Linked DNA regions of Oryctolagus cuniculus. Each later gene encodes a partner of the first gene's protein in a complex. Links are inferred from orthologs where the notes say so. Each region holds a gene or a part of one and is shown in the gene's direction. Other genes may lie near its edges.

Region 1 (5,724 bases):
CTGTCGGGCGAGCGGGCGGTTCTGTCCATGCCTTGGGGCATCCAAGGAGGCCAGGTTTCCTGCTCTGCCTTATTTCCAGGTAAACCGGCGTGCCCCTGCTCCCCACACCCACGTCATCGCTCGTTTTCCCTGTGGTGGGACTGTGGCCGGTCCCCCTTCCTCGGTGGTGTCTCCCTGCTCACCTCGAGGTATGTCCCATCTACTGGTTCACTCCCCAAACAGCCACGGTAGCCAGGGCTGGGCCAGGCTGAAGCCAGGAGCCTAGAACTCCGTCTGGGTCTCCCACATGGGTGCAGGGGCCCAAGCACGCGGGCCATCCTCTGCTCCCCACAGGCGTGTTAGCAGGGAGCTGGATCAGAAGCGGAGCAGCCAGGACTTGAACTAGAGCCCCACTGTGGGATGCTGGCCTTAACCCGCCGTCTGGCAACACCGGCCCAGGGCCCATCTATTTACATGGTAGAGAATTTCTGCTGGCAAATTGGAGTCCATCTGCCTACACAGAGGAGCCTTGCCTTCAAGGGGCACGATACTGATAAAAATTAACCAAGTCAACAGGTGCTACAGACATTTTGGACTTGAGGGCATTTTTAATCTTGTGTTTGTTCTCTTTGGAGCAACTGATGTGTCTATTCCAGATTGGAGGGAAAACAACTTGTTACTGTAGCTGCCTTAGTCGATACAGAAAGCAACACTCATAGAAATAGGAATATTTTCCCTAGAGTACTGAGAAGTCGTCTATTTTGGTTAATTAGAAGCTGTAGACTGGATTAGATCTTTTTTTTATTTTTTTTAACAGGCAGAGTGCACAGTGAGAGACAGAGAGAAAGGTCTTCCTTTGCCGTTGGTTCACCCTCCAATGGCCGCCACGGCTGGCGCGCTGTGGCTGGCACACCGCGCTGATCCGATGGCAGGAGCCAGGAGCCAGGTGCTTCTCCTGGTCTCCCATGCGGGTGCAGGGCCCAAGCACCTGGGCCATCCTCCACTGCACTCCCTGGCCACAGCAGAGGGCTGGCCTGGAAGAGGAGCAACCGGGACAGAATCCGGCGCCCCGACCGGGACTAGAACCTGGTGTGCCGGCGCCGCAAGGCGGAGGATTAGCCTAGTGAGCCACGGCGCCGGCCTGGATTAGATCTTAAATCTCCATGTCCTGAATTTTAGGTGGTCTAGGGTTGTGAGAAGATAGATACCTCACCTCACCTGCACATCCACAAGTTTAAATCCGAAGCCAATTTTTGTGACAATAACTGTGTTTACGGAGTACAGGTTGCTATTTTGATATGCATATATTGTAGAAAGAACATACCCATCGCCGTACCTATTTTCTATGGTGAGACATTTAAAGTCTCATTTAGCAACATTGACATATATATTAACTACCCTCACGGTGCTGTGCTGTAGATCTCTCAAACACTCCTCTTAAACCTGTACATAGTTTAAAAAAATGCAAGTTGATTTTCAATATTTAGTCTCTTTAACCAGCACTCGCTCTCGGGAGGTCTCCATCCATGTGCTAACTGGATCCTATCCTGCTTAGAGAGCAGGTAACGCAGGCACATTCAGAGTGATGTGGCCCCAGACAAAACGGGTACCTTTTGACTGACATCTGCCCCTTCCAGGTACTGGTTACCACCATTCTACCCTCTGCTTCTATGAACTTGACCTTTTAGGTTCCACAGGTGAGTGAGATGACAAATCCGAACATGACCCAGCAGTGTCTTAAGCCTGAGCGCCACTGTTGGGACGGTGCCTCTGGAGCCTCGATCCCAGGGTGCTGTAAGGTTTGCATACACGCTATGCCGTCCTGCTGAGTGCTTCACTTCACGGAAGCCGCGCAGCAGCCCTGGGAGATGTGGTTCTGACTCCCGACTTCCTCAACGAGGCAGGGGTGTGTCATCAAAATCACAGAAGTCAAACTTGGGCTCCCCCTCAAATCTTGGAGCCCACAGCACAGAAGTTCACACCCTCCTGCAGTGGCATGACAGCAGGGTTCCCTCTAGTGGCAGCCACCTGTGGTCCATCTCTGTCTGAGGCACAGCACGTCATGGCAATATGCTGTAAGTCTCATGAGCACGTTCGTGCGACTTCCGTTACAGCATGTTGCTATTAAGACTGTCTGATCTGTAAACTTATCAGAGGTGTATATGCAAATGAGACACAGCAAATACAGGGTTCAGTACCATTGATGGGCTCCGGGATCCATGAGGAGTCCCAGAAGGCCCCCCACTGTTTCCCTGTGGAATCTGACCTCGTGCCAGCTAGAAGATGAGCCGAGCAAGGTGTGAGTAGCAGGAGCTGTCCTGAGGGCCAAGGATTCTTCATAGACTCATTTGTCTGTATTTCTTTGAAGAAATGTCTTCAGATCCTTTGCCCATTTTAGATCACTTGTCCCCCCTTTTCAGAGTTTTTATATTTGGATATAAGTCCTGTATCAATAGGACTTCCAAATATGTATTTTATACCAAATATTTTTTTTTTTGACAGGCAGAGTGGACAGTGAGAGAGAGAGAGAGAGAGAAAGGTCTTCCTTTGCCGTTGGTTCACCCTCCAATGGCCGCCACGGCCGGCGCACCGCGCTGATCCCATGGCAGGAGCCAGGAGCCAGGTGCTTTTCCTGGTCTCCCATGGGGTGCAGGGCCCAAGCACCTGGGCCATCCTCCACTGCACTCCCTGGCCATAGCAGAGAGCTGGCCTGGAAGAGGGGCAACCGGGACAGAATCCGGCGCCCCAACCGGGACTAGAACCCGGTGTGCCGGCGCCGCAAGGTGGAGGATTAGCCTATTGAGCCACGGCGCCGGCTTATACCAAATATTTTAATATTCCAAACATTTTATAAAACTGTAATTCAATATTAACATGCACAATTGATCTTTAAAAACCCATAGAACTGCTAAAAACTGAAGAGCCATTTGTCTGAGTCCTGAAAATTCTCGGACGAACTCTCTTGGCTCCTCCGAGTGTGCCAGGTGCTGTCTGACAAACTAACGGGACTTCTAGCAACAGGATAAGCAGGTGCAATGGTGACCGGCCTTCTGTCTAGGAAGAAGTCTTACCAAAGGAGAGGATGCTCATCTAATGAGTCGGTTGAGGTCCGATGTGTTAACCTGGAAACTTGCCACAAATTTCGGTCTTGTTCCTCTTCCCACAGATCCTATCTCTTCCAAATTACCGAAGAATCTACTCTCTGACCAAAATCTGAGCTCTCAGCCTTGTGTCACGAAGGAAGATGACCAATGGGTCTCCTTTTCCAACTACGGTTTGCAGTGGTGTCTCAAGGAGCTGAGCAAGGAAGAACTGCAGACGTTCAAGGAGTTGCTGAGGAAAAAGCATTCGAGGTCAACGACGAGTGCTCTCCCGTGGACTGAAGTGGACAACGCCAACACGGAGAGTCTGGCCTCCCTCTTGCATGAGTATTACGAACGGCCCACTGCCTGGACCATGGCCATTGACATCTTTGAGGAGATGAAGCTATTGACGCTCTCTGAGAAAGCAAGGGATGAGATGAAAAGTGAGACTCGGGGCAAGTCTGGGGCTGGGGGGAGACGGGGGTCCCAGGTTCTTGTGACAATAGGGCAGACTTCTCTCTAGTTGCGTCCACCCCTGTGGTGCGATCACCAGTCCTCTCCACTGGCGGACATCGGTGCTGTCTCTAGTGTGTGGGAGATAGGAGGAGGAGGCATGAGTGTCCAACTCTTCCCGGAGAAAATTCAGTTGAGTGTATAGGTAGGATTTGGAGCCTAACCTTGAACTCTGGAGTCTCCAGGGTCACATGTGAGAGTTAGGGCAAGTCTCTTCTTGTCCCAATCCTGGGATTTCATGCCTCGGAACAGGAGCTGTGAAACTAGATGAGCCATGGCAGAGAGTCTGAGATCCCGTGTGGGAGTTGGCTGCCGCCCATTGACAACACGGGAGTGTCTCCCACTCGGCCCCAGGTGAAAACAGGGACTCCATAGACTGTCAGTGCCCACGTTAAGCAGTGGTCTTAAGGTGGATGATTACCTGGGTGTAATTAGGGGAAAGGACTTTCTTTAAAAAAAAAAAATAGTCCCCTTTTATCAGGAGAACGTCTCCCACCGTTGTGGACTGGAAACTTTGCTAAGTGGTTTCTTGACTGGGCAGCCAAAGTGGCCCTCAAGATGGCAGACTCTGCACACAACATGAGCCTGCTCGTCAGCCACCAGGGCCCCATCAACAGCAAAGGCTGCAAGGGACCACAGACATGGTGCTCTCTCTGCACCTGGGAAGGCCCTGAGCAGAAGACACGGTGGTACTACCTGCCCGAGTGAGGGGAAGAGATTCAAATGCTAGCTGGCGTCGCCTGGGCAGTGCTGCAGGTCGGGCCCCACACTGAGGCCCTGGGTCATGAAATGGCCTCCCCAAGCCCCACAGACCCCCAAATCGGGGCTCTTCCGTGTCCGATAATTTGACCAAGTTCACAAGCTAATAAGCGACAAGGATGAGGTTCACTGACGTCCACTTAGCATAGATGTGAATTCTCATGTCAAGCTCCAGGGGTATCCAACAGTTCTCGGTGTGGGAAGGAAGAGAGAAACGGGCAATTTTAAAGATGAAAGGTAGGGGCCAGCCAGTGCTGTGGTGCAGCAGGTTAAAGCCCCAGCCTGTAGTGCTAGCATCCTATACGGGTGCTGGTTTGAGTCCTGGCTGCTCCATTTCCAATCCAGCTCCTCGCTGGTGTGGGGAGATGGCAGATGGAGGGAGGTCTTCCACCTGCTGCTTCACTCCCCAAATGGCAGCAACAAGAAGCTGGGCCAGGCCGTCTCCCTCTCAGTGTCCCTCTGTAACTCTGCCTATCGAATACATAAAAATATTTTTTTAAAAATTAAAGATATAGGCCGGCGCCACGGCTCAATGGGCTAATCCTCCACCTTGTGGCGCCGGCACACCGGGTTCTAGTCCCAGTTGGGGCGCCAGATTCTGTCCCTGTTGCCCCTCTTCCAGGCCAGCTCTCTGCTATGGCCAGGGAGTGCAGTGGAGGATGGCCCAGGTGCTTGGGCCCTGCACCCCATGGGAGACCAGGAGAAGCACCTGGCTCCTGCCTTCGGATCAGCACGGTGCGCCGGCCACAGCGGCCATTGGAGGGTAAACCAATGGAAAAGGAAAACCTTTCTCTCACTGTCCACTCTGCCTGTCAAAAAAAAAAAAAAAAAAAGAAATGTAAGTGGTTCCTATTCTAGGCTACTGGAAAGTGAGGTCTAGGATCACTTCATAGAAGAAATAAGCCTTTTAAAAAATTTTTTTGAAAGTTACACAGAGGCAGAGAGAGGTCTTCCATCCGCTGGCTCACTCCCCAACTGGCTGCAGCGGCCAGAGCTGCACCGATCCAAAGCCAGGAGCTTCTTCTAGGTCTCCCATGTGGGCACAGGGGACTTGGACCATCTTCTGCTTCTACTGCTTTCCCAGGCCATAGTAGAGAGCTGGATTGGCAGTGTAGCAGCTGGGACTTGAACCTGCGTCCATATGGGATGCCGGCACTGCAGGTGGTGGCTTTACCCGCTACAGCACAGTGCCAGCCCCAAGCTTTTGTTTTGTTAAGATTTATTTCTTTGAAAGGCAGAGTTAGAGAGTCAGATCTTCCATCTGTGGGTTCACTACCCAAATTGACTGGAGCTGGGCCAAGCCAAAGCCAGGAACCTGGAGCTTCTTCCAGGTCTCCCACATAGGTGCAGGGGCTCAAGGACCCAGGCTGTCATCCACTGCTTTCCCAGA
Region 2 (5,149 bases), on another chromosome or scaffold:
TATTTAGGGGCCGGCGCCATGGCTCACTAGGCTAATCCTCCGCCTTGCGGCGCCGGCATACCAGGTTCTAGTCCCGGTCGGGGCACTGGATTCTGTCCTGGTTGCCCCTCTTCCAGGCCAGCTCTCTGCTGTGGCCAGGGAGTGCAGTGGAGGATGGCCCAAGTCCTTGGGCCCTGCACCCGCATGGGAGACCAAGAAAAGCACCTGGCTCCTGGCTTCGGATCAGCACGATACGCCGGCCGCGGCGGCCATTGGAGGGTGAACCAACGGCAAAGGACAACCTTTCTCTCTCTCTCACTGTCCACTCTGACTGTCAAATATATATATATATAATAAAATAAATAAAAAAATCCTTTAAAAAAAGATTTATTTAAGGGCCAGTGTTGTGGCCTAGGGATAAAGCACCACTTGTGATGCCAACTCCACTTGGGATCCAGTTCCCGGCTAATGTGCCTAGAAAAGCAGAAGATGGTCCAAAGCGCTTGGACCCCGGGGCCCCCACAAGATGTCTCCGAGAGAGAGACAGAGAGAGAGAGAGAGAGAGAATCTTCCATATTTTGGTCCACTCCCCAAATGGCCACCCACAACAGCCAGGGCGTGGCCAGGCGGAAGCCAGGAGCCTGGAAGATTTATTTATTTACTTGAAAGGCAGAGTTATAGAGAGGCAAAGTCAGAGAGTGAGAGAAAGAGAGAGAGAGATCTTCCATCAGCTGGTTCACTTCCCAAGTGGCTGAGCTGATCCAAAGTCAGGAGCCAGGAGTTTCTTCCAGGTCTCTCACGCAGGTGCAGGGGCCCAACGACTTGGGCCATCTTCTACTGCTTTCCCAGGCCATAGCAGAGAGCTGGATTGGAAGTGGAGCAGCCAGGACTAGAACCAGTGGAGCAGCCAGGACTAGAACCGGCACCCAAATGGGATGCCGGCACTGCAGGTGGTTGCTTTACCCCCTACACCACAGCGCTAGCCCCCAAGTATCAAATTTTAAATGAATATTTAATTTATATGATTAATATCAACACATTCGGCATTTAACAAAGTGTCAATGATTAGATGTCCTCTTCTCTCACACAGGTCCCACTTCTAAGGAATGATATACATCATACGCGTGTTATGATACACATCAGTCCACAAGGGCCCAGCAAATGCCTGCAATGTGCAAATGTTGTTCTAGGCACTGTGGCCACACAGATAAACAGAAGAGAATTCCCACCCTCATGGTACTTCCAATACCTACTCTATTCTAGGGAGACAGCAGGGAAACCAAAGTGAACAAAATCTTCTTTGTGGAATTTAAAGCCTTAGGAGAGTAAAAAGAGACTATTAGATTTACAAATGTAGCGTGTTTTAAGTAGGGCAAAAGGGGGCAGAAGTGAGGAATAACTAATGTACACCGTGTTCTGAGATTGCTCTATAGAGAGGTCTGAGTGGAAACTTAAAAAGGAAAATACCTGAGGGCTTTTTAAGTTTGTGATTTATTTCATTAGGCAGAGTTACAGAGAGAATTTTCCATCTGCTGGTACACTCCCCAAATGGCTGCGATGCCCAGCCGACCTGGAGCCAGGAGCTTCTTCCGGGTCTCCCACACAGGTGCAGGGGCTCAAGTACTTGGGCCATCTTCCACTGCTTTCCCAGGCCATAGCAGAGAGCCGGATCGGAAAAGGAGCCGCTGGGACAGGACCCGGCGCCCCTGTGGGATACCAGCACCGTTGGCACGCTGTATTTTTCTTCTGAATTTTTTCTGAGAATAAATTGTCCCCCATGAATGAAGATTATGTGTTTCAATATTTAATTATAACGCCCAGCTGAAAGCATCTTTCAGCTGATATCGGCCAGAATCCGTGAACCTTAGCTCCGCTCTCCTCCCCACCCCCGCCTCCGCCCCCTCGGAGCCTGATCCCCTGGCCCACAGTGCCCACCCGCGGTGACTACAGCAGGTCACAGGGGCCCAGTCGCCCTTTCCCTCCTGACCCAAGCTGGCAGTGGCAAAGTCACAGCTCGAGATTTCGGATCGACAGCGGCTCCAGCCAAAGAGGAGCAATTACTCAACAACGCTTTAAGCCGAAACATCAAAGAAAAGAAATAGCGTCGTATCACTTGGAAAATGGAGGCAAAAAAAAAAAAGTTTCAAGGACCCCTCTCTGTTGTCGGTTGTGTGCATGGCATTAATGATGCATTAAGTAAGATACTTGCCCTTGCCGGAGCTCAGAAAACTGGGATACGGCGAGGGGGTGGGGGTGGGGGGGTGGAGCTCATTGGCCAGGGTGGGGAATTTACTTTAGCCCTGAAAGTAAAGTATCATGCCGCAGGTATCAATTCTTTTCTTTCTAAGCGGTATTGTCCAGCTGTTGGTCCCTTCTTTGGTCCCTGGTCCCTCGCGACCCGCGCGCAGTGGGCGGTGAGCCCACCCCCAAGCAGCGCGGCAGGAACTCAGAAACCGCCGCACTTGCGCCGCCTTGAAAAGAAGTCCGGAGCGGAGGCCGGGGGTCCAATGAGAAACGCGCCAGCGGAAGGGGCTGGCCAAAAGCCCTTGAAATACTGCCCCAGCCGGGCCCCTGCGCTCGCCGCCTCCGTGTACGCCTACCTCCATCGCCGCCCCGGGCTTCTTGCTGCGCGGTGGCCCCCCGCGAGGCTCCTGCAGCATGGCCACCCCCAAGCGCTTTCAGACGCTCGTGCAGCTGCAGCAGCGAGAAGGGGAGCTGTGCCAGGTGCTCGGGAACCTCACCAAGCTGCCCAACTGGTTCCACTCCGAGTTCCTCAAGAGTCCGAAGGCAGTTCACCTGGAGGCTTGGCTGGTGGAAGCGATCTTCGGTGAGTGCACGGGTTAGAGGCGGCCCGTGAGGCCTCGTTTGCCCACCCGCCCCGCATCCCTCAAGGCCTGGCCACGCCCCAGCTCCAAGCCCTCCTTTCGCCCAGGATCCTAGGAGACACCCCTCTGCTCACTGCCTCCCTGTTCCCCGCGCAGGCCCCGGCGGGGAGCACATCCCGCACGTCGAGTGTGTCTCCCACACCCTGCTTCATGTGAACCGATGGGACCCTGACGGCGAAGCTGAGATCTTGATATGTGGGCGACCTTATTTTCAGAAGGATGTATCCAAGCTGATCATGAACTTGGCCGACTATCACCGCCAGCTCCGGGTGCAAAGTATGGGCCCGGGAGAAGGCAGGGCGACCCCCAAGCGATTTCTGGCTCCAAGGGAGGGATCCTGGTGTCTCCTGGCTGCCAGGGCAGCAGGCTCGCTTTTCCCCTTGCCCCGAAGGGTTTCGTCTCTACCAGGGATCGAGAAGGCCAAACTGGCCCCGCGTCCTGGGGTTCCGGCCCCCAGCCTCTGTCCGCAGGATGACTTGCCTTTGGGAGGAGGAGGGTGTGGGTGACAAGGGCGCAGTCTCCTCACACCGCTCTACTTCCAGGCTCAGAGAAGGTCCAGGTGCAGGAGGCCGGCACGCAGCGGTCTCCAATCGAAGTGCGCGAGGCCGGGACGCAGCGGTCTCCAGTCAAGGAGCGCGAGCCTGGGACGCAACGGCCTCGAGAGGCTGCCGAGGACCCGGTTACCAGGCTATGAAGAGCCAAGAGCGAGAACCAGCAAGGGCTTCAAGTGCAGATCCCTCAGTAATTCTACTCTTCTAGGTCCTACTGCTGCCCTAGAAGCTGGGGCAGAACGCTGCGGGTGTTTTGTTTTCCCCCTCTGTGTTAATTGCGAGTTTAAGTTTAAGGAGTTCTAATAAAACGAGTTGCATTCCCCTGGCGTGCCTTAGTCGGAAGGTTACCAGGCTTGTTCTTCTAGCAGCCAAGATCTGCTTTACACGGCCTTCCCCTCCGGGGCAGGTGAGGCGCGTTGGGTGTCTGCCGCTCTGGGGCGGGTCCTCCCGGGTTGCGGTCAAGTGTCCCCTGGGGCGAGGGCTCTCGGGCTCCCTGAGCCAGCCCTCTTGGGAAACTGCAAGCCCACTGTGTCTTTTCTCATAGTAATTTAAGATGGGAAAACCTGGAGACGGCTTGCAGCCCTCCTAGATTGGAAGGGCCTCCTGGGCGTATAGCGGAGCTAACACCGGCCATTCCCACCTCGGTTGGGAGAGGATGCTGGGCTCGGCTACCCTTTCACCTCTGATCCCACTGCCTGCGTATGAAGTAGGATGAACACTAACAGCTGTGTGCTAGGATTGAACATTATCTGCATAATACTAGTGTTAGAAATTTTTTTTTCAAAGTTTATTTAAAAATTCAAAGCAGCTTAATTTTAAAGGTCAGGGGAGGCAAAGCGAAAAGCCTAAAGAGGGGTGAACTTTAAGCTCAAAATGAATATCAAAACGAATCATCAGCTTCAAGTGAGGCTGCACTCCAGCAGAAGGAACACTCCCTGTGTGCCTGCTGTTCTGAGAGTAGTACCCCTTTGACCAAAACATCAGATTCTCTGTTGCACCAGAGAGGTTGGTGAGCAGAAGGTAGCAGGCCAACAGAGCATTTAGGGGTCTGCCTATTGATATATAAGCCCAAAATTACCCTGTGTGCACACACACACACGGATGGGAGAGGACTTCGATGAAAGAACAAGGTGGTAGGACACCTCATTAAACATTCCTGGGTGGAGGCTGGAGAGAACCAAGAAGAAAAAAAGTTGAATTTATGGGCTGGCAGCAGGTATCTTTTGTCCACGTATGTGTGTATGTACATGCTTTTCCAGTATCTACCCCTTAAACTATGTTGCTTTATACAATATCCTAACATCTGAGATGGCAAGTGTTCAATTGGTAGTCAAGATCACCTTTTCAAAGGTTTATTTTTAGATATTTGAAAACCAGCATTAGAGGGAGAGATGGAGATCTTGCATCTGGATGTTCATTCCCCACATGGCTGTATCCACTAGAGCTGTGCCAGGCTGAAGCCAGGAGCCTGGAGGTTCCTCTGGATCTCCCAAGTGGATGGCGGGGGTCCAAGCACTTGGGCCATCCTCTGCTGCCTTCTCCAGCCATTAGCAGGGAGCTGGATCTGATGTAGAGCAGCCAGGTCTGGAACCAGCGCCCATAAAGGATGCTGGTGTCACAGGCAGAGGCTTAACCCACCATACTACAATGCTGGCTCCTAGATGATTTTTCCAGATGAAGCAGTTAAAATGCATAAGCTGGTTGAGGGAAAATGTATATACATATGGCTTCCAA
Region 3 (5,308 bases), on another chromosome or scaffold:
AGGGAGAGAGGGAGAGAGAGTGAGAGGGAGGGAGAGAGAGAGGGAGGGAGAGAGGGAGAGAGAGAGGGAGGGAGGGAGGAAGTGAGGGAGAGAGGAAGAAAGAGAGGGAGAGGGGGAGAAAGAGAGGGAGAGGGGGAGAAAGAGAGGGAGAGGAGGAGAGAGAGAGAGAGAGAGAGAGAGAGAGAGAGGGAGAGGGAGAGAGGGAGATATCTTCCCTTTGCGGTTCACTTCCCATATAGCTGCAACAGCCCAGGGTTGGGCCAGGCAGGAGCCAGGAGACAGCAGCTTCATCCTGGTCTCCCATGTGGATGCAGGGGCCCAAAGACTTGGGTCATCTTCTGATGCTTTCCCAGGCACATTAGCAGGGAGCTGAATCAGAAGCAGAGCAGCTGGGACTTGAACCCCTAGCCTAGGAAAGGATTTCTTAAGCGTGATAAGGGAAGTACTTTATACTATAAAGACTTCTGTCCATCAAAAGACACCATAAGAAAATGAAAAGACAAGTTAAATGGTAAGGAGAGATTCATAATATACACAGTTGAAAAAGGAGTAGTAAAGACTGCAGGAAAATGCTTGTATATGAAACAGGAACCTTCACATATTTATATCATCAACACTTTTTTTAAAAACAATATGCAGGCATTACATTGATTTTTAAAAATTATACAGAAGTAAATACCACTAAAATTAGATTATCTCCACTCAATATTTTTATTGTTTTTAAGAATACATAATATTATTTATTTGAAAGGCAGAGTTAGAGAGAAAGAGAGAGGGAGATAGAGAGAGAATGTTTTCAACTGCTGATTTACTTCCCAAAAGACAGCAACAGCTGGGGCTAGGCCAGGACAAAGCCAGGAGCCCATAACTTCCTTCAGTTCTCCCACGTGGGTAGCAAGGGCCTGAGCACTTGGGCCATCTTCCAGAGCTTTCCCAGGCTACATTAGCAGGGAGCTGGATGGGAGGTGGAGCAGCCAGGCTTTAACAGGCGTCCATACAGAATGCTGGCATTGCAGGTGGAGGCTTAACCTACTATGCCACAATGCCTGCCCGATATTATCTATAGATGACAACTGCAGCCTAGAGCCCTCTGGATGAGGGATTCAGCGCATTAATAATAGTACCTTTTCTTATATAAGTGATAGAACATTTCCATATAAAAGATTAAAAAAAAACACAGCTAATTATAAGAGTTTTTATAGCAGATGTGATGAGTATCTATTCTAAAACTGCTGAACAATTCTAGAAATGTAATAGAAAATGTGTAAGAACTGGGCTTACGTTGTGTCCCAGCAGGTTAAGCCACTAGCTTAGCCACCAGCATCCCATATGAGTGCTGATTCAAGTCCTGGCTGCTCCACTTTCCATCCAGCTCCCTGCTAATGCACTTTGAGATAGAAGGGAAGATGACCTAATTGCATCCATGTGGGAGACCTGGATGGAGCTCCTGACACCTGGCTTCTGGTTGACCCAACCCCACCTGTTGTGGCCATTTGGGGCGTGAACCAGTGGATGATCTTTCTGTCTCTATAATTCTGCTTTTCAAATAAATAAATAAATCTTAAACAGAAACAAAAACAAACAAACAAAACCACGACACTGAATGATTTTTGAAATGGCAACCATCCAGAGTCCTACGATAACAAGGAGCACACAAGAAAACCTTAAATTCGAGCTTGCCCAGGGCCTGACCTGTCTTTGGAAGGTAACTACGCAAATCTTAACGCAGGCTCTTAAGGTGAGTCCCAGTCAACAAGGTTAACAATCCAAACTGTTAATCAGGTATGAGTTAGGGCTGGGACCTTTTTTTTGACAGGCAGAGTGGAGAGAGAGAGAGAGAGAGAGAGAGAGAGAGAGAGAGAGAGAAAGAGAGAGAAAGGTCTTCCTTTGCCGTTGGTTCACCCTCCAATGGCTGCCGCGGCCGCCGCGCTGTGGCCGGCGCACCACGCTGATCCGAAGGCAGGAGCCAGGTGCCTCTCCTGGTCTCCCATGGGGTGCAGGGCCCAAGAACTTGGGTCATCCTCCACTGCACACCCGGGCCACAGCAGAGAGCTGGCCTGGAAGAGGAGCAACCGGGACAGAATCCGGAGCCCCAACTGGGACTAGAACCCGGTGTGCCGCAAGGCGGAGGATTAGCCTAGTGAGCTGCGGCGCCGGCCTAGACTGTGAAACCTTAAACTGCAGAGATGATGACCAAGCGAGCGTGCCTGAGACCCAAATGGATCTCAAACCAATACTAATTTCAGGTGGAAGAAGTCTGGGGCCAGAGTGCCTTGCGCAGACTCACTCCGAACTGGGCGGGCGTGCTGCTGCCGGGTGGGCGGGGCTGACCTGGGCCATAAAAGAGCCCGCGTGGCCTGCCGGGTCTGGAGCAAGGTTCCGGTGGTTGGTGCGAACGGTTTCAGCTGCTGCTCTCAACATGGACACGGACGTTGGAGCTGCTGAGGCCCGGCAGCACCCATTGAAGCTGACCCGCCCAGAGGACCTACTTAGGTTTCCACATCCACTGCCGCCCCCGCGCATTCACATCCGGCCGTGGTGGTTTCCGGTGCAGGAACTGGAAGACCCCGCGGTGTTCTACCTGGAGGCATGGGTGGCGGACTTGATCTTTGGTGAGCTGCTAGTGCGACTCCAGTCTGAGAGGCTCGAGCCACTCCCGGGCCTCTTTCCGGGGTGCTCTGGCTCTGTGGGTGGCTCATCCCTTCCCGGGCCATCTTTACCTTCACATCTAGCTCCTTCTGATCTGACCATGACTCCACTTGCTCTCCCCTTACTTGTTTAGGCCCAGACCGCGCCATGATTCCGGAAATGGAGTGGATGAGCCAGGCCCTGTTGAGGGTGGACCCAGTGGACTCCGGGAATTTAGTGGAAATCACGGTCCACGCACGGCCCCGTGTGCAGAACCGGGTGAAGAGCATTCTCCTGAGCCTGGCGTCATGGCACCGAGAACGTCGTGTGGCGCGAGGTGAGGCTGTTGGAGAAGCTGCAGGCGGAGGAAGCCTCTGGCTTTGCTCAGCTCCCTTCCAGCCTCCTGTAGCTATCAGTACTTACTGCCATTCCCAAACCCCAGAAGCTGCCCGCAGACCCAGGGGGTCCTTTTGGGGGGGGGGGTGCACGTAGGACCTAGGGAAGGTAAGCAAAGATCTGATGCATTCAAGCTTCTTATTGCCCAAGTCAGCCTTCGCTAGGCTGCTTCCCTGTTGCCAGACGGCACGTTCAGAGCCTTCACCTCTCCCCACTTTGCCAGATGCACCGCCCTCGTCTCCTGTATGCACGGAGCACGTGGGAACAGCCGACATTTTCCCTTGCCTGTGGTTGATATCCATTGCTTCTCTTCCAGCGGAGAAGATGAAGCACCTTGAGGAGTTCCTGAAGACTCGTTCATCGGGGCCGGACGCTCCCCTGCATCTCGATACTTAGAGCACAGGACTACGGCCAGGAGCAGAGCATTAGAACAGCCTTGCTTTTTCTAAACTTGGAGAGAAGCAGGTGACCCTAATCCCTACATTCCTTTTTCCTGTGACTTGACAGTACTTCTGATGTGAATGTGCATTTGTAGAGATATTCGAATAAATGGACTTTTTTTGTCCAATGACATAAACTTTTGCTTACTTAAATCTATAAAAGGTTGAGTGTTTATCTGACATGAGGGGTGGGTAGAAGGCTGGCAGGAGGTGGGTTTTTTTCCCCTCTTATTTTGAAACTTAGGGTTTTTTTTTTTTTTTTTTTTTGAGATAGGTCATCAATTTGAGAGCTCGTTAAAATAGTTCCCTAGGCTCTTCCTATTCTAAAAATTTGGAAGGCAGAGTGATAGGAAAAGGCAGAGATGGATCTTTTTTTCCTTTTTAAAGATTTATTTATTTGAAAGTCAAGAGTTAGGAGGCAGAGAGGTCTTCCATCTGCTGGATCACTTCCCAGATGGCTGCTACGGCCGGAGCTGCGCTGATCTGAAGCCAGCAGCCAGGAGCTTCTTCCGGGTTTCCCACGTGGGTGCTGGGGCCCAAGGACTTCGGCCATCTTCCCCTGCTTTCCCAGGCCATAGAGAGCTGGATCGGAAGTGGAGCAGCTGGATCTCAAACAGGCGTCCATATGGGAATGCGGGCGCTTCAGGCCAGGGTGTTAACCTGCTGCACTACAGCACCAGCCTCTAGAGATGGATTTTATATTCACTGGCTAACTTCCCAAATGGCTGAGGTTAAGCCAGAAACCTGCCTGGAAGAAACTCTAGGCTCCTGGCTTCAGATTGGCCCTTTAGAGAATGGATCAGTGGATGGAAGATCTCTGTGCCTCTTTGTCTCTGTAACTCTGCCTTTCAAATCTTAAAAATGGAGTTAGCACTCCAGTATGGATTGCCGGTGTCAGACAACAGCTTAACCAGTTGCACAACAACGCTGGCCCCCTTTGTCCAGTGATGCTGACTCAAGATGTGGTTAAGGTCTGTTAACTTCTACTTTTAAGACGGACTTGAAAGTTAGAGGGAGAGACAGAGTCCATCTGCTGGTTCACTCCCCAGATGGCTGAGCCATGCAGGAGCCAGGAGCCCCTTCTGGGTTTCCCTTGTGGGTGGCAGGGATCCAAATGCTTGGGCCATTCTCCAATGCTTTTTCCCAGGTCATTAGCAGGGAGCTGGATGGGAAGTGGAACAGCCAGGACTAGAACTGGCGTCCATCTGGGATGACTGTACTGCAGGCGGAGGATTAACCTGCACCACAGCACTGACCCCTAATTTGTATTTCTAACAAACTTGTGTGTAAGACCAAAGCAACTCTGAGGTTCTCACTTCAACCCTGGTAGTCTGCCCCTCAGATCACCAGGTGTGCCTTTTTCTGAGTGGTGCCTCCTGCATTGCATGTGAGTTGCTCTCCCCCACACAGGCCTAGCCTAGACTACCAGCATTTATGATGGCACTAAGTTTCACCACTGAAAAGCCAGGGTGGCGGGCCCCTTGGCCGACCAGAGGGTGCCCTGCATTGGAGCTGGCTGTTTCCTTGCTCTTGTTGCACAGGTATTCCTTGGGGGCTGAGTAGTTTTCCTTACCCATTCAGTGATGACCAATCTGCAAAAGAGCTCCTACCCTCACCAGCACAGCTTTGAAGAGCCAGAATTTTTTTTTGACAGGCAGAGTGGACAGAGAAAAGGTCTTCCTTTTGCCGTTGGTTCAACCTCCAATGGCCGCCGCGGCCGGCGTACCGCGCTGATCCGATGGCAGGAGCCAGGTGCTTCTCCTGGTCTCCCATGCGGGTACAGGGCCCAAGCACCTGGGTCATCCTCCACTGCACTCCCGGGCCACAGCAGAGAGCTGGCCTGG
Region 4 (5,724 bases), on another chromosome or scaffold:
TTCAAAATTTAAAAAGGGTTACGAGCAGAGGGGGAGAGACTGAGCGATTGATCTCCCATCTGCCGGCTCAGTGCCCAGGCAGGGCTGGGCCAGGCCGAAGCGGGAGCCAGGAGCTCCATCCGGGTCTCCCACATGAGCGGCAGGGGTCCCAGCACCTGCGCCCTCGCTGCCGCCTCCCACGGTGCGCATGCGTGGGGCGCTGGCTGGGTGGCACAGGCAGGATCCAGGGTGCGCATGCGCGGGGAGCTGGCCGGCCGGCACAGGCAGGACCCGGACCCCCACCCCCATCCCCACCCCGCCTAGGTAGGACGCAGGCGGCTCGGCCTCCGCGGGCCCCAGGCGAGGGGTGGCCCTCGAGTTTTCATCTGAAACAGAAGCAATTGGGGGCCCGCCCACAATCGGCCCTCAAACCCACAGTGGGTGCGGGGCTGTGTCCTGGAGGTACTTGGCCTTGACCCTGGCACCGCCCCCCCCCCCCAGCTGGAACACTTCTCCCAGCTGCTCGAGGCCTGCAGCCAGGCCCTGGACACCCCGACGCAGGAGGTAGGGCGCCGGGCCCCTGGGGAGAGGGGGGGATGGGTGGGGGTGGGGCCCTGGGCCTCTCAGGACCCCTCGTTCGCTGCCCCAGGGGACCCCAGCCTCTCCTGACGCCGGCCAGGACCAGCGGGTGCCCTGCAGCCCCAAGACCAAGGCCCCCCGGGGCCCCGAGGTCGAGACCGCCCAGGAGTCGAACGCTGAAGCCCTGGTGGGCGCGAAGCCGCCGTCCCCCCCGCCGCAGCTGCCCTGGGCCCCGGGCACGGGCACCGGCACGGACGCGGACGCCCCGCCGGAGCCCCAGTTCTGGCAAGATGTCCTCACGCGGCTGCTCTGGCAGGGGTTTGCCGGCCCCCACGACGCGGCGAGTGAGCTCGGGGACCAGGGTGAGCGGCCCGGCGGGGGCGGGGCGGCCTGGGCCGTGGCGGGGGTGGGGGTGCACGGTGACCTTGCTCCCCTGTCTGTCTACCCCTCCGGTCGCAGGCACAGAGCTGGCGCCGGGCCTGGTGAGTGTGGGTGCTCTGCGGGGCTCAGAAGGGGTGTGGAGTGGGGGTGGGATGGGGGTGACCCGTCCCCCGTCCCCTGTCCCCTCTTCCCGTCCCCCTGTCCCCCTGTCCCCCTCCTTCCCTCTTCCCTCCCCATCCTCCTGCCCTCCTCCCTCCCCCTGTCCCCCTCCCCCTGGGCGGAGCAGGCCAGGCCAGGCTGTGTTGGAGCCACATGGTAGCCACGTGGTGGCCACGGCCTGGAGCTTCCAGAAACTGACCCCTTCGCGAAACCGGGCCCCCAGCGGACCGGGCCGAGTTGCCTGGGCAGCCGAGAGGCGCTAGCCCGGGCTCGGCTCTGACCCAGCTCTGCTGTTGCCTGGGTCAGGAGAGCAAGGAGCCGGGATCCCGCGACCTGGGGACGAACATGGGTGCCGGAGCCTCCACTCAGAGTAATCCCGGGGGAAGAGGGGGGCGGGGCAGCTGGCCGGAGGGGCCGCCCCCAGGCCGCAGCCCCCTTGTCTCTGCCCAGCTCCCCAGCCTGCCAAGGCCACCAGCGCCCGGGAGGGGTCCCGAGATGACCGCGTGAGTGCCAGCCTGGCCCGGGTAAGACCGGGTCTGTGTGGGGGCTGCCGGGGGAGGGGCGGGCACAGGTGCACGCGGCCGATCTCGTCCCACCCGCAGGAGCCTGCAGAGAGAGTCCAGCCGGTTCTGAAGCTGTTGTGAGTGTCTCCGGGGCTGGGGGTGGGGGTGGGGCACAGAGACCCCCCCCCCCGTGTGTGGACAGGAACAGGGGCCCTCCCCGCGCCACGGGCGGGTCACAGGATCGGGGCTAGGAGCCCCCACGGGAGGGGCCCAGGGCAGGGCTCTGTCAGAGCTGGGAGCAGAGAGGGGACATGTTGGTTGGGGTGAATAGGGTTTGCCTTATGAGCTGCCAAACTCCAGGCAGAAAGCGGTGCGTGGTTCTGGGGGGCCGGGGGGCTGGGGAAGACGACGCCCTTCGGGGTCGACTCGGGGTCAGCGCGTCACCCCGCGCCCCCACCCCCAAGCTCCTGGGACCCCGAGGATTTCGAAGACGCCGCGGCCCACGGGCGGCTGGCCGTGCCGCACAAGCTGGACAAGGCCCGCACGCTGCGGCACGGGGAGCTGGTGCTGGCCGCGGCCGTGAGCAGCTTCACGCGGCACGCCTTCACCTGCAGCAGGGGTGGTGTCAAGGTCTGGAGCCTGACGGGCCAGGTGGCCGAGGCCCAGCTCCCCGAGAGCCACCTGTTCCCGGGGGCGCAGGTGAGGGGCGGGGCCTGCGCGGGGGCGGGGCCCGCGGGGGGTGGGCGCTCACGGCCCCCTCGCCCCCCCCCCCCCGCAGACCCCCGGCGCCTACCTGCGCGCCTGCCTGCTCACCGCCGACAACCGGACCCTGCTCGTGGGCGGCCACAAGCTGGCGAGCGTGAGCGTGTGGGACCTGGCGGCGCCGGCCCTGCGCCCCTCAGCCCAGCTGCCGTGCGCCGGCGGCACCTGCCAGGCCCTGGCCGCCAACCCGGCCGAGAACTTGGCTTTCGCCAGCTTCACTGACGGCATGGTCAGGACGTGGGACCTGCGCAGTGGGAGCGTGGTCAGGTGTGGCCCGGGTCGGGGCTGGGCGGGGCAGGCGCGGGGTCCTAGCTCCCTCCGCGCCCCGCCCCTCTGCCTGTGCTCAGCGGTTGCCGTGGCTGTGACGTCAGTGGCGCGTCACTGCACTGGTGTCTGGGGTGGTGGTGACGACACATGTGCTAAATGCGCCCCCTCCCCGGCTCGGGGCCTGGGGCTAGTGGGGAGGATTCATGGCGCAGGTGTGCACAGGCCCTGGGGAGTGGGGGTGGGTGCGAACGAGACGGGAGGGCGGGAGGGGCCCGTGGCCGGCGCCGCCCACCCAGCCCCCCCCCCCGACCTCTCACGCGCAGGGACCTCCCCGGCCCCCCAAACTGCGCCAAGAGCATCGTGGTCAGAGACCAGCAGGTGTGGGCGGGCGGCCTGGACGCGTGCCTGCGCTGCTGGGACCTGCGTGCCGCGGGGCCACCCCTGCAGTACCCGCTGGAGTCCCAGGTGTGCGGCGAGGGCTCGGCCGTGGGCGGGGGGGGGGGCGGAGCGGGGACGGTGCTGTCCCGGTGCTGCTGCGGGGGGAGGGGCGGTGAGGCTTGACCCAGGTTCTGCCATGCCCACCTGAAGGACCAGCACGCTGAGGGCGGGGCCGGGGTCCGAGCCGGCCTCTCGCCTGTCCCCCCCCCCCCAGATCATGAGCCTGGCCCACTGCCCCCAGGAAGACTGGCTGCTGCTGGGCCTGGCAAACGGGCAGCAGTGGCTGCGGCGGCCCGACGGCAGCCAGGCGCGCATGGCCGGGCACAAGGACAGCGCCATCCTAGCGCTCAGGTTCTCAGCCTTTGGTGAGCTGCCTGGGCCGGGGTGGGGGCGCCCGCTGTGGCCCCCACGCGGGGCGGGAAGCAGGGGGGGGCCACCCATGCCCCCTCAGCACCCGTGTCTCTGCCAGGCCGCTGGTGGGTGAGCGTGGGCACGGACGACCTGGTCAGCATCTACACGATGCCCCTGGGCGCCAAGGTGTTCCAGGTAGGGTGCAGGCAGTGGGGAGCAGAGGGGGGCCGGCTCCCCGGCTCCCCGGCTCAGCCCGCCCCTCGCCTCCAGGTGCCCGAGGCCACCGCCATCTTGTGCTGCGACGTGTCCAGCGACAGCCGCCTGGTCGTCACGGGCGCCGGGGACTGTGCCTCCGTGTACCAGGTCACCTACTGAGGCCCCGTGTCCGTCCATCATCTCCTGAGACGGGCCGGGGGTGGGGGGTGGGGGAGGTAGTGGAGGGGTCTCGTCGGCACTGCGTGGGGTTCACAGCCTCTGGGCTCTGTCCGTGGAATAAAGCACTCGGCAAAGCAGGCTGCTGCCCCTGGGCCTCGTGGCGGGGGGGCTCCGGCTGGGCCGGGGGCATGTGGGCCGGGTGGGGCAGTGGTCAGGGCCTGGGATGCCGGCATCCGGCAGCTCCTCCTGCCTTTCAACTTTGACAGCAGCTGGGCCGGGGTGGTGCCGGGTGGCTGTCACGATCGGGGAGGTCCGCCTGGCCTGCTCCCCGCCCCCAGAGTCCACGGTTCTAGCGGGTGGGCAGACAGCTGCCACTGGCCCTCACACAGGCGCTGCCTCCTGGTGCACCTGCCCTGGGTGGGGCCGCCTCCTTCCAGAATTCCCGTCCAGAACCCAGGTGAGGGGCTTTGTCCCGCACCGGCTCCAGCGTGCACTCCCAGGGGCCCCAGACCCATCTCCCCGCCCCCCCCCAAGCCCTCACCTCTGAGCCCCCAGACAGCCGGTCCCCGCACAGATCCCCACCAGGTCAGAGCCAGGCACAGGTCCTCGCCGCCCCTGCCCCACCGCGGCGGCCACCCCCCGAGCCCAGCACCCAGAGCCGGTTGAGATAAATACATTTATTCCGGGGTCTCTGCGGCCAGCAGGGGAGGGGAGGGGTCAGTAGACCACCTCGTAGACGGTGGCCTTCTTGTCGCCGGAGCCCGTCACGATGTACTTGTTGTTCCGGGAGATGTCGCAGCTCAGGACGGAGGACGACTCCTTGGACTGCGGGGGAGGGGGACACACGGGGCGTCAGCAGGTGCCCGGGGTGGGGGTGCGGGCAGCGCTGGGCGCCCTGAGCAGGGGAGGGGGGCCGGGCTGTGAGGGACGGCGGGAAGCTGTCTGGTACAGGAGGGAGTACAGGTACAGGGCGAGCGTCCATCGTCTGGTTCACGCCCCAGGTGGCGGCAGTGGCCAGGCCTGGGCCGGGAGCTCCATCCGGATCTCCCTCGTGGGTACAGGGAGCAGGTGCGCATGCGCAGGGAGCCGGGGCATTGGCTAGGCCCTCCACCAGGGAGCAGGTGCGCATGCGCAGGGAGCCGGGTCATTGGCTAGGCCCTCCACCAGAGAGTAGGTGCGCGTGCGCAGGGAGCCCGGGCATTGGCTAGGCCCTCCGCGTGGAACCCAGACCGCGCCCCTGGACAGGGCCCGTGCCCCGGAGCCGGGACGGCACCCGCGCTCTGGGACGTGGAGCTGCAGAGCCGCTGGGGGGCATGGGCCGGCCCGAGCTCAAGGCAAGGTCGTGGCACCAGGACCTGGACAGAGCCCGGTGCTCAACTTTTGCCCAAAGTGCACCCTGGGCCCCGCCCCCCACTGTGCTGTGTGTGAGCCGCTCCGGGCCCAGCTAGGACGGCGCACACAGGCGGTCACAAGCCTGGGCGGCCGGGAAGCCACCGCCTGGGCCCCCGAACCCCGGGGCCAACCCCGCTGCTCTGCTTCTGAGGCAGACCCCGCGCACCCAGGGAGGGCGACAGTGCTTGGGCCCCTGCACCTGCCGGGGGGACCCGGATGGAGCTCCTGGCCCAGCCCTGGCTGCCATGGCCAGCTGGGCAGCAGGCTAGTGGACAGCTCTCTCTGCCTGATCTTGACCTCTGTGCTTTAAAAAGAAAAAACTGTTTTTTTTTTTTTGTTTTTTTTTTTTTAATTTTTGACAGGCAGAGTGGACAGTGAGAGAGAGAGACAGAGAGAAAGGTCTTCCTTTGCCGTTGGTTCACCCTCCAATGGCCGCCGCTGCAGCCGGCGCACCGCGCTGATCCGATGGCAGGAGCCAGGATCCAGGTGCTTTTCCTGGTCTCCCATGGGGTGCAGGGCCCAAGCACCTGGGCCATCC
Region 5 (6,345 bases), on another chromosome or scaffold:
AGTCGAGCCTCTGTCTGTCCCAGCTTCCTGGTCTACCAACCAGGGACGATTCTGAGTCTGTTGACCCCTTGGGCTTCCGCCATCTTTCAGTCCCACGGCCCCGGTCTGCACAGCTGTGGCGTGCCAACGGCTTTCCTTACAGAAGCACGGGCTGAATCTAGAACTATGACTCATCGCACTTGCGTATGGCACTCAGAGCTCATTTGGTCGAATGTTTCATCTTAAAGTTGGGGAAATTTGAGACCCAGAGAGAGGATGGGCCTTGCACACAGAGCTGGGGGCCAGGCGGAAGGTAGGAGGCTCCTTCTGCACCTCCTCGCTCCAGGTTTGTGGCAGGGGAGGAGGAAACCCGGCTCTGGCCTCTGAAGCAGCCCTCGGGGGTTTAGGGAGCCTGGGGGAGGGCAGCTGCAGCTCTAAGCCAGGAGCCTTTAAAACTCCAAAGGGGAGCGAAGGCAGAGCTGGCCGGCTCTCCCCTGCACCAGTGGACGGAAGCTTCCGGCATGCGGACACTACAGATGCTTTGGGACATCTTTTTCTTTGCATCTGCTTTATTTTTCTCAAATAGATTTGGCCCGAGGTGTGTGTGTGTGTGTGTGTGTGTGTGTGTGTGTTTCCAAGTGCATTAGACTGGTGGGGGAAGGAACTGGGTGAAGAGGTCAGCGAAAAAAAGCTGCAATGTGGCAGGAAGTTCCCAGGATTCAGCATCTGGGGCTCGACTCATTGACACATTTGATCCACATGTGGACAACTGGCGTGGCCAGAGAGGGCTGGTTCCCATGCAGCTGGGAGACCCAGGCCACGGTGGGTCAGCTCTGGCCTGCAAGGAGGAAGAGAAAGGAAGAGGAATGACTTGGCGAACAGTCCTGCGAGAGACAGAAGGAAGTGGGAGGGCTTATTCACCAGCAGGGTTGCATTCTGCTGGGCGATGTGGTAAGAGAGGCCAGGCCAGATCCCATGTTGGAGGAGGGGAGACACAGAACTATTTCTAGATCCTCTCCCCACTCAGCCCATCTCCCACACGCTGGTCCAGAGTGCACGCATGCCTGCCTGCCTGCATCACGTCTTTATTTCACATGTGCCATGCACCGACTCCGAGCCAGACTCTAAGTACCAAGCAGCGAGAAGTTAAAGACGACGACAAAATGCAAAACTGATCCTTTTTTTTTTTTTTTTTAATTTTTTGGGCATGGTTAAAAATCTCTCATGGCATTCCTATGTATGGCAGAATAAAAAGTTAGAACTCCTTAGGCTGCCATTCGGTGCCCCTTATGTGCCTGACTCCATCAGCAGCCCCCATTAAGGATCACCGGGGACACCAGGCACGGCAGACTCCTTGCCTGTTACAACGAAAGGGAGGGACTCCCGGCCCTGAAGCCCTATCATCCTGCCACGGCTGGGTCGGGGATGTCAGCAGCCTCCCTGCGGCAGGTTTTCAGAAGCTGCTCCTATCCAGCCAGAAAGAATCATTAAAAAAAAAAAAAATCTATATATCTATGTATTTGCAGCACTTACCTCCTAAATTCTGCCAGGACAGGTTCCTCCGACATCTAGCAGAGTCTAGAATATTCCCCTCACAGAAACTCATGTGAGGTTCAGAGCCCTTCCTTGGACTCCCTTTTTTTGCTTTCTAACCCACATTATTGATTTTTATCTCGCTTGTTTTGTGGGGCAGGGATTTTTTTTTTTTGCTGCTTCGTTCATTGCTGGGAGCATAGCAGGCGCTCAATACCTGTCGAACGACTGATGCAAAGCAGGCAGGCGAGGGTGGGTGCGCGCTGTGGAACCCAGGAATAAGCCTGTGTCAGGGTGCAGGTGCTGGGTGGGGGCAGAGGGGTGGCCCGCCCCAGCCGCAGTGTCATGGAGATAAAAAATTCTGCAGCTCCACCCGGAGCGGAGGAACGGGCTCCGACGCGTCCCCTGGGGACGTGAACCAGGGTGCCCAGCCGCTATTCCGCTTCCTACGTGTCACCCGGACAGGTCCAGCAGCCTCCAGGGGGACTGCGGACCTGGAGCCTCGCTTGGGGACAGAGAGTCCCCCGCTTCAGGCAGCCGTCGCGCGGGGGAGCGCCATGCTGACAGGCTGGAGCTACCGTGTCCGCGCCCCCTCATTCCCTCTCCCGGGCCCTGCTCCCCGCCATGACCGGCTATTCTGCCTGGAAAACAGGGTCTGGGCTGGGGCCCCGCCCCTCCCCGGGTAACTGCCCAGAGGACATGGGGCGGGGCCGTGAATCAGCACTCGCTCCGACCGTTGCCGCCCTCGTCCCCGCCAGAGGTCTCCCGTGTCCGCCGGTTTAGGAGCCCCATCCTCCCACGCCCCTGCGCGCTATGCACACTGGGAGATGTAGTCTCGGCCGCCCTTTTGTCTTCGGTTTCCTCAATGCGCCGTTGGACGGCGTTGTGAACTACAACTCCCAGGAGCCCACGCGCGCCCTAGGCCCGGCCGGCCCGGGGCCTGAAGGGGGGAGGGGAGTCTGGAGAGGCTTAGGCGAAGGAATCCGGGTGCAGTAAAAAAAAAAAAAAAAAGGGGTGGGTGGGTGGGAGCGTGGCGGGGGGCAGCGGGGAAGCAGAGGACACTCGCAAGACCGCAGCGGGCCGAGCTGGGGGATGGGGGACCGAAGCTCGAGCGGCGCGAATGCCCGGGCGGGGCCTGGGCGGGCGGGCGCGCGCGCGCGCGCGCGCGGGTGAGTGGGCGGGGCCGCTTGCGTCACGCGGCGTGGGCGGGGCCGCAGGGGGTTGTCCGCCCGCGGCACGCACAGCAGCCGCAGCCGCCTCGCGCCCGGTCCCGCGGTCGCAGCTCGTGCCGCCTCCTCCTCGCCGCCGCCTCAGCCGCTGCCGCCGCCGCCGCCTCAGCCTCTCGCCTCGTGGGTCGGTCTTTCCGGCACACGGGCCCCAGCCGCGCCGCAGCCGCCCTCCGAGCCCCTTCAGGCCGCCCCGGTGTCCCCCTCCGGCCCGACCCAGCCCGCGAAGATGGTGGACCGCGAGCAACTGGTGCAGAAAGCCCGACTGGCCGAGCAGGCGGAGCGCTACGACGACATGGCCGCGGCCATGAAGAACGTGAGTGTCTCCTCCCCTCCCCCACGCTCCCCCGTCCCTCCGGGAGGGGGGCACGCGGTCAGCGGCGGGCAAGGCCCGGCGCGACGGCAGGGGAGGGGGCGGCAGCCCGGGGGCTGCGTCCCCGCGGGGGCTGCGGCGGGGACCCGGGTGGGGACGCGGCCTCGCCCGGGGGGCCCGGCGGCGCTGGGCGGGGTCTTGCGGGTCTGGTCTCCGGGTGTGCGGGGGGCCCTGCGCATCCTTTGTGCCCCACTTCCCCTCCTCCCCGCCGGGCGTGGGGGCGGGGGGCCGCATGGACGCCGTTCCTCTTTCTCTCCCTGGTGTCTGGGCGGCGCCTTTCCCGTCCGCTCGGCGGGTCTCCCGGGTGGCCACCCCCTCCCCAGCCCTTGGACCCTCCCCGGGGTGTGGGGGTTGGGGGGGGGGGGAAGGTGCTCCGGAAAACCTGGGCTCCGCGGTGCAAAATCGAAACCTCCTGGCTCACGTTTTTCTTAACAAAAGGCTGTAGCTCCATGGCCCAAAGCGCATCCCCTGCCCTTTTTTTTTGGGGGGGGGGCGTTTGTCTCGCTGGCGTTTCCATTGATTGTTCTCAATATGTCATCTCCATTTTTTTCCCCTTGTGTTCTTGCATTGGAAAGGGTAGGTATCGCCCTGAAAATAAACGTTGAGAATTTAGCTCCCTGTTTCTTCTTTGAACACAGGCACGCGTCTGTTGAAATTCCTACAAGTTGAAAAAAAATATATAGAGATATAGGCACACAGTCCGTCTGATCTGATATTGCAAACAAAGCGGTGGTGGGAGGCAGGATCCAGGCGTTCCAGAAGGTTCTGCATTTGTCATATTGCAGAGAGCCTAGACTGGGTGGAGGCAGGGAGCACTTCGCGGCCAGGGGAGCGAGCCCTTGCTCAGGAATTCGCTCTGGGAGCCGCCGGAGCTTCCTGCCCCTCGCCCTGGAGGAGAGGCAGCCCCGCTCAGCCCCGCGGTCTGGTCTGTGCGGGATGCGGGTCCCTGCCCCCGGCTGCACCATTTTGTCAGGAGCCCCAGCTCGCCCCGGCCCGCAGTGTGAATTCAGGGGAGGGGGGCTATTGCTGAAGGAGACGCAGGAAAACGGATGGTTTAGGGCTCCCACCGCCTTAGTATTTCACTTCCTGCCTTATGTAACAGGGTTAGAACGCCTCTCGGGCTGCGGTTTAAGGCTGCACCTTCAGAGCGGTGTGGGTTACGTTCATTCTTGAGCAGCAAGGTGACAAGGCTGGTCTGTTATCCTTGCTCCAGCTACAGATATTAACAAAAATTTTTTTATCCTGTTGAGGAAGGTCATTGTTCTGAAATTGGAGATGGTGCTGTTTTCATACATCCACAGAGTTGGTAGTTCTTAACGTTTTAATGCTCTGATAATGCAAGTCGCACTTTTAATATCTGCTCAACACTATTGGGAATATCTCCGGTTCGTGTCCTTTATTTAGGCTTTAATTCTGCCATGTTCCGAGTTTCACAGGAAGGCGAGTGACCTCGCACCTGTACCCATAGCAGCCCAGTGATGTCACGCACAATGACACAGAGGCTGCAGTGCACCTCGGAGCTGGGAGGAGTGTGCACTTGGCGTCTGTCCAAGGAGTGCAGAAGGTGGCTGAGGAGCCAGGTGGAGCTGAGCCCTTTATCCTCCCCCAGATAAGAACGGGTCCAGAAAACACGAATTTCCTTTTCCCTCAGACATGCAAACCCGCGACCCCTGGATATGCCTCACTCGTCTTCCCGTTTCCAGTTGGTCTCAGGATCCATGAGATACTTTCGTCTTTTTGAAGCATTGATCTCGCACATTTTAAAAATTGGGACAACAGCGGAATGAAAGAATTTTTAAAATAATACAGGATCACAGTGCAGGGGTGGAATGTGTACTCGGGTTTATTGCAAATAATTGGCAGGTTTTAATGAAAACCCTAAGAAACTGCGGCTTCCCACTGGGTTATTCTCAGGAAGCCGTAGGGAACGGAGACCTTTCAGGAAACATTTGACTTCAGGATTTGGGAAGCTGCTCTGTGCTTCCTCTCCTCGACAGAGCAGGGAGGAGAGAACCAATTGTACAATCAGGGTTTTTTTTTTTTTTTTTTTCTTTTAAGATTTATTTATTTGAGAGGCAGAGAGAGGTCTTCCGTCACTGGTTCACTCTCCCAAATGGCTGCAACAGCCAGAGCCAGGAGCTTCTTCCTGGTCTCCCATGAGAATGCAGGGGCCCAAGCACTTGGGCCGTCCCCCAGTGCTTTCCCAGGCCATTAGCAAGGGAGTTGGATCGGAAGTGGAGCAGCCAGGACTTGAACCAGTGCTCAGGGGGATGCCAGCAGGCTTCACCCGGTGCACCACAGTGCTGGCCCCAACAAGGATGTTTTTTGAAAGCTATTTATGTTGACTTAGCAAGTAGGTTTCCCTCTGACTTCCTTTCCCCATCCGTGGAATGGGGCAATACCTGCCTGAATGGGTTACAGGATTACGTAAGGGACGCGGGAGCTGCGTCTGAAACTGTCCCTGCCCATGTGTCTAAGTCATCTGGAGCAGTTGGGCAGTGTGAAGGAAAACTCAGGTTTACCACCAAAGTGAGCTCTTTCCTAAGGCTGAAATCGGCATGGTGATAGAGGGGCTAAAATTTATCTGCATCTAGTGAAATAGCAGAGTGAATTGCACAGGTAGTTCCAAATGTTCATGGAAAATGGAAAGAAAAGATCAATTCTGGTGAGAAAATGTGAGGTTTGTGTGTGGCTTTTTCACAATGTGCATTTTCCATGAGCTCTTTGAAGACCCTTCGTATATACGATTTTTGGTACTAAAATAAACTCCTTTTCATTCCATTTTCCACGAACTTTCTCTTAAATTAAAATTTCACTTTCTAAAATTTTGGCTTGAACACGCGGTACCGCAAACATGTGTGGGGTCCGTGCCTTTTGAAAAGAGCTCACATGCGGGTGACCAGGATCGAAATAACGCACCAGACAGTGTTTTGAAAAGTGGAGAGTGGGTCTCCAGGACAAACGTTTGGTCTTGCCTTGAAGAGGAGGCAGGCACCTAGGCCTCCCTGTGTGCCACACGGTAGACGGTACAGTTCAGCCCCGGTTTCACTTTCCGTGGGTTGGGTTACCCCACGGTCCCCACCGCCTGTTACTATGAAGTGGAAAATCCCAGCAATACACAATGTATAAGTTTTAATTGACTTTCACTACAGTCTGTTGTAATTATTCTGTTCTATTGTTGTTACTCTCTTAATGGGCCTAATATTTTTAAGTAACACTTCATCAGAGGCATAT

The links.
Region 2: NLRP5 (region 1) and KHDC3L share a complex: the UniProt entries of both Homo sapiens proteins name them as parts of the subcortical maternal complex. The link is inferred for Oryctolagus cuniculus from reciprocal best matches to the Homo sapiens genes NLRP5 and KHDC3L.
Region 3: the proteins of NLRP5 (region 1) and OOEP are in contact, whole or in part, in a cryo-EM structure (PDB 8H93), measured with the Mus musculus proteins. The link is inferred for Oryctolagus cuniculus from reciprocal best matches to the Homo sapiens genes NLRP5 and OOEP. Residues at the interface, in NP_035990.1 of Mus musculus: Glu173, Leu176, Leu195, His196, Gly202, Leu206, Asn322, Leu325, Glu326, Tyr337, Ile338, Leu339, Val340, Glu341, Gly342, Leu343, Ser344, Ala345, Ser346, His373, Asn625, Gln626, Asp652, Ser655, Glu661, Leu662, Cys663, Pro664; in NP_080756.1 of Mus musculus: Ser26, Leu27, Arg28, Leu29, Arg30, Thr31, Arg32, Ile38, Val41, Asn43, Tyr48, Met49, Leu75, Leu86, Glu88, Pro95, Thr99, Lys102.
Region 4: the proteins of NLRP5 (region 1) and TLE6 are in contact, whole or in part, in a cryo-EM structure (PDB 8H94), measured with the Mus musculus proteins. The link is inferred for Oryctolagus cuniculus from reciprocal best matches to the Homo sapiens genes NLRP5 and TLE6. Residues at the interface, in NP_035990.1 of Mus musculus: Gln185, Phe188, His283, Arg307, Glu326, Lys327, Lys329, Ser330, Ser334, Pro335, Leu336, Met444, Ala447, Glu448, Trp451, Tyr465, Tyr507, Tyr508, Glu511, Glu515, Asn517, Phe520, Phe522, Leu540, Met543, Lys544, Leu547, Val571, Lys574, Leu575; in NP_444484.1 of Mus musculus: Pro147, Gln148, Pro149, Val150, Cys158, Gln159, Phe161, Leu162, Ile163, Gly165, Leu166, Trp167, Leu169, Phe170, Ser173, Arg174, Gln175, Lys176, Asn177, Ala247, Asp248, Lys249, Phe250, Lys252, Pro253, Ser255, Trp256, Leu261, Glu262, Cys265.
Region 5: the proteins of NLRP5 (region 1) and YWHAG are in contact, whole or in part, in a cryo-EM structure (PDB 8XI3), measured with the Mus musculus proteins. The link is inferred for Oryctolagus cuniculus from reciprocal best matches to the Homo sapiens genes NLRP5 and YWHAG. Residues at the interface, in NP_035990.1 of Mus musculus: Ser1030, Cys1031, Ser1055, Gln1058, Cys1059, Pro1060, Val1061, Glu1084, Phe1087, Val1088, Lys1089; in NP_061359.2 of Mus musculus: Phe201, Tyr216, Thr220, Met223, Gln224, Arg227, Asp228, Thr231, Ser235.

Annotation. Positions count from the first base shown.
Region 1 is NC_091449.1:2,983,644-2,989,367, reverse strand, and holds part of NLRP5 (NACHT, LRR and PYD domains-containing protein 5), read left to right. Parts: intron 1-1,616; coding exon 1,617-1,676; intron 1,677-3,145; coding exon 3,146-3,505; intron 3,506-5,724. UniProt on the Homo sapiens protein: Component of the subcortical maternal complex (SCMC), a multiprotein complex that plays a key role in early embryonic development.
Region 2 is NC_091436.1:99,181,059-99,186,207, reverse strand, and holds KHDC3L (KH domain-containing protein 3), read left to right. Parts: upstream 1-2,452; 5' UTR 2,453-2,637; coding exon 2,638-2,806; intron 2,807-2,960; coding exon 2,961-3,140; intron 3,141-3,406; coding exon 3,407-3,558; 3' UTR 3,559-3,735; downstream 3,736-5,149. UniProt on the Homo sapiens protein: Component of the subcortical maternal complex (SCMC), a multiprotein complex that plays a key role in early embryonic development.
Region 3 is NC_091436.1:99,171,257-99,176,564, forward strand, and holds OOEP (oocyte-expressed protein homolog), read left to right. Parts: upstream 1-2,343; 5' UTR 2,344-2,419; coding exon 2,420-2,612; intron 2,613-2,782; coding exon 2,783-2,965; intron 2,966-3,340; coding exon 3,341-3,420; 3' UTR 3,421-3,598; downstream 3,599-5,308. UniProt on the Homo sapiens protein: Component of the subcortical maternal complex (SCMC), a multiprotein complex that plays a key role in early embryonic development.
Region 4 is NC_091447.1:59,661,440-59,667,163, reverse strand, and holds the end of TLE6 (transducin-like enhancer protein 6), read left to right. Parts: intron 1-480; coding exon 481-579; intron 580-1,404; coding exon 1,405-1,468; intron 1,469-1,548; coding exon 1,549-1,632; intron 1,633-1,947; coding exon 1,948-2,300; intron 2,301-2,379; coding exon 2,380-2,630; intron 2,631-2,953; coding exon 2,954-3,095; intron 3,096-3,282; coding exon 3,283-3,433; intron 3,434-3,537; coding exon 3,538-3,614; intron 3,615-3,689; coding exon 3,690-3,794; 3' UTR 3,795-3,946; downstream 3,947-5,724. Other genes in the region: TLE2 (transducin-like enhancer protein 2), read right to left, coding at 4,512-4,619. UniProt on the Homo sapiens protein: Component of the subcortical maternal complex (SCMC), a multiprotein complex that plays a key role in early embryonic development.
Region 5 is NC_091450.1:44,224,495-44,230,839, forward strand, and holds the start of YWHAG (14-3-3 protein gamma), read left to right. Parts: upstream 1-2,725; 5' UTR 2,726-2,967; coding exon 2,968-3,054; intron 3,055-6,345. UniProt on the Homo sapiens protein: Adapter protein implicated in the regulation of a large spectrum of both general and specialized signaling pathways. Binds to a large number of partners, usually by recognition of a phosphoserine or phosphothreonine motif.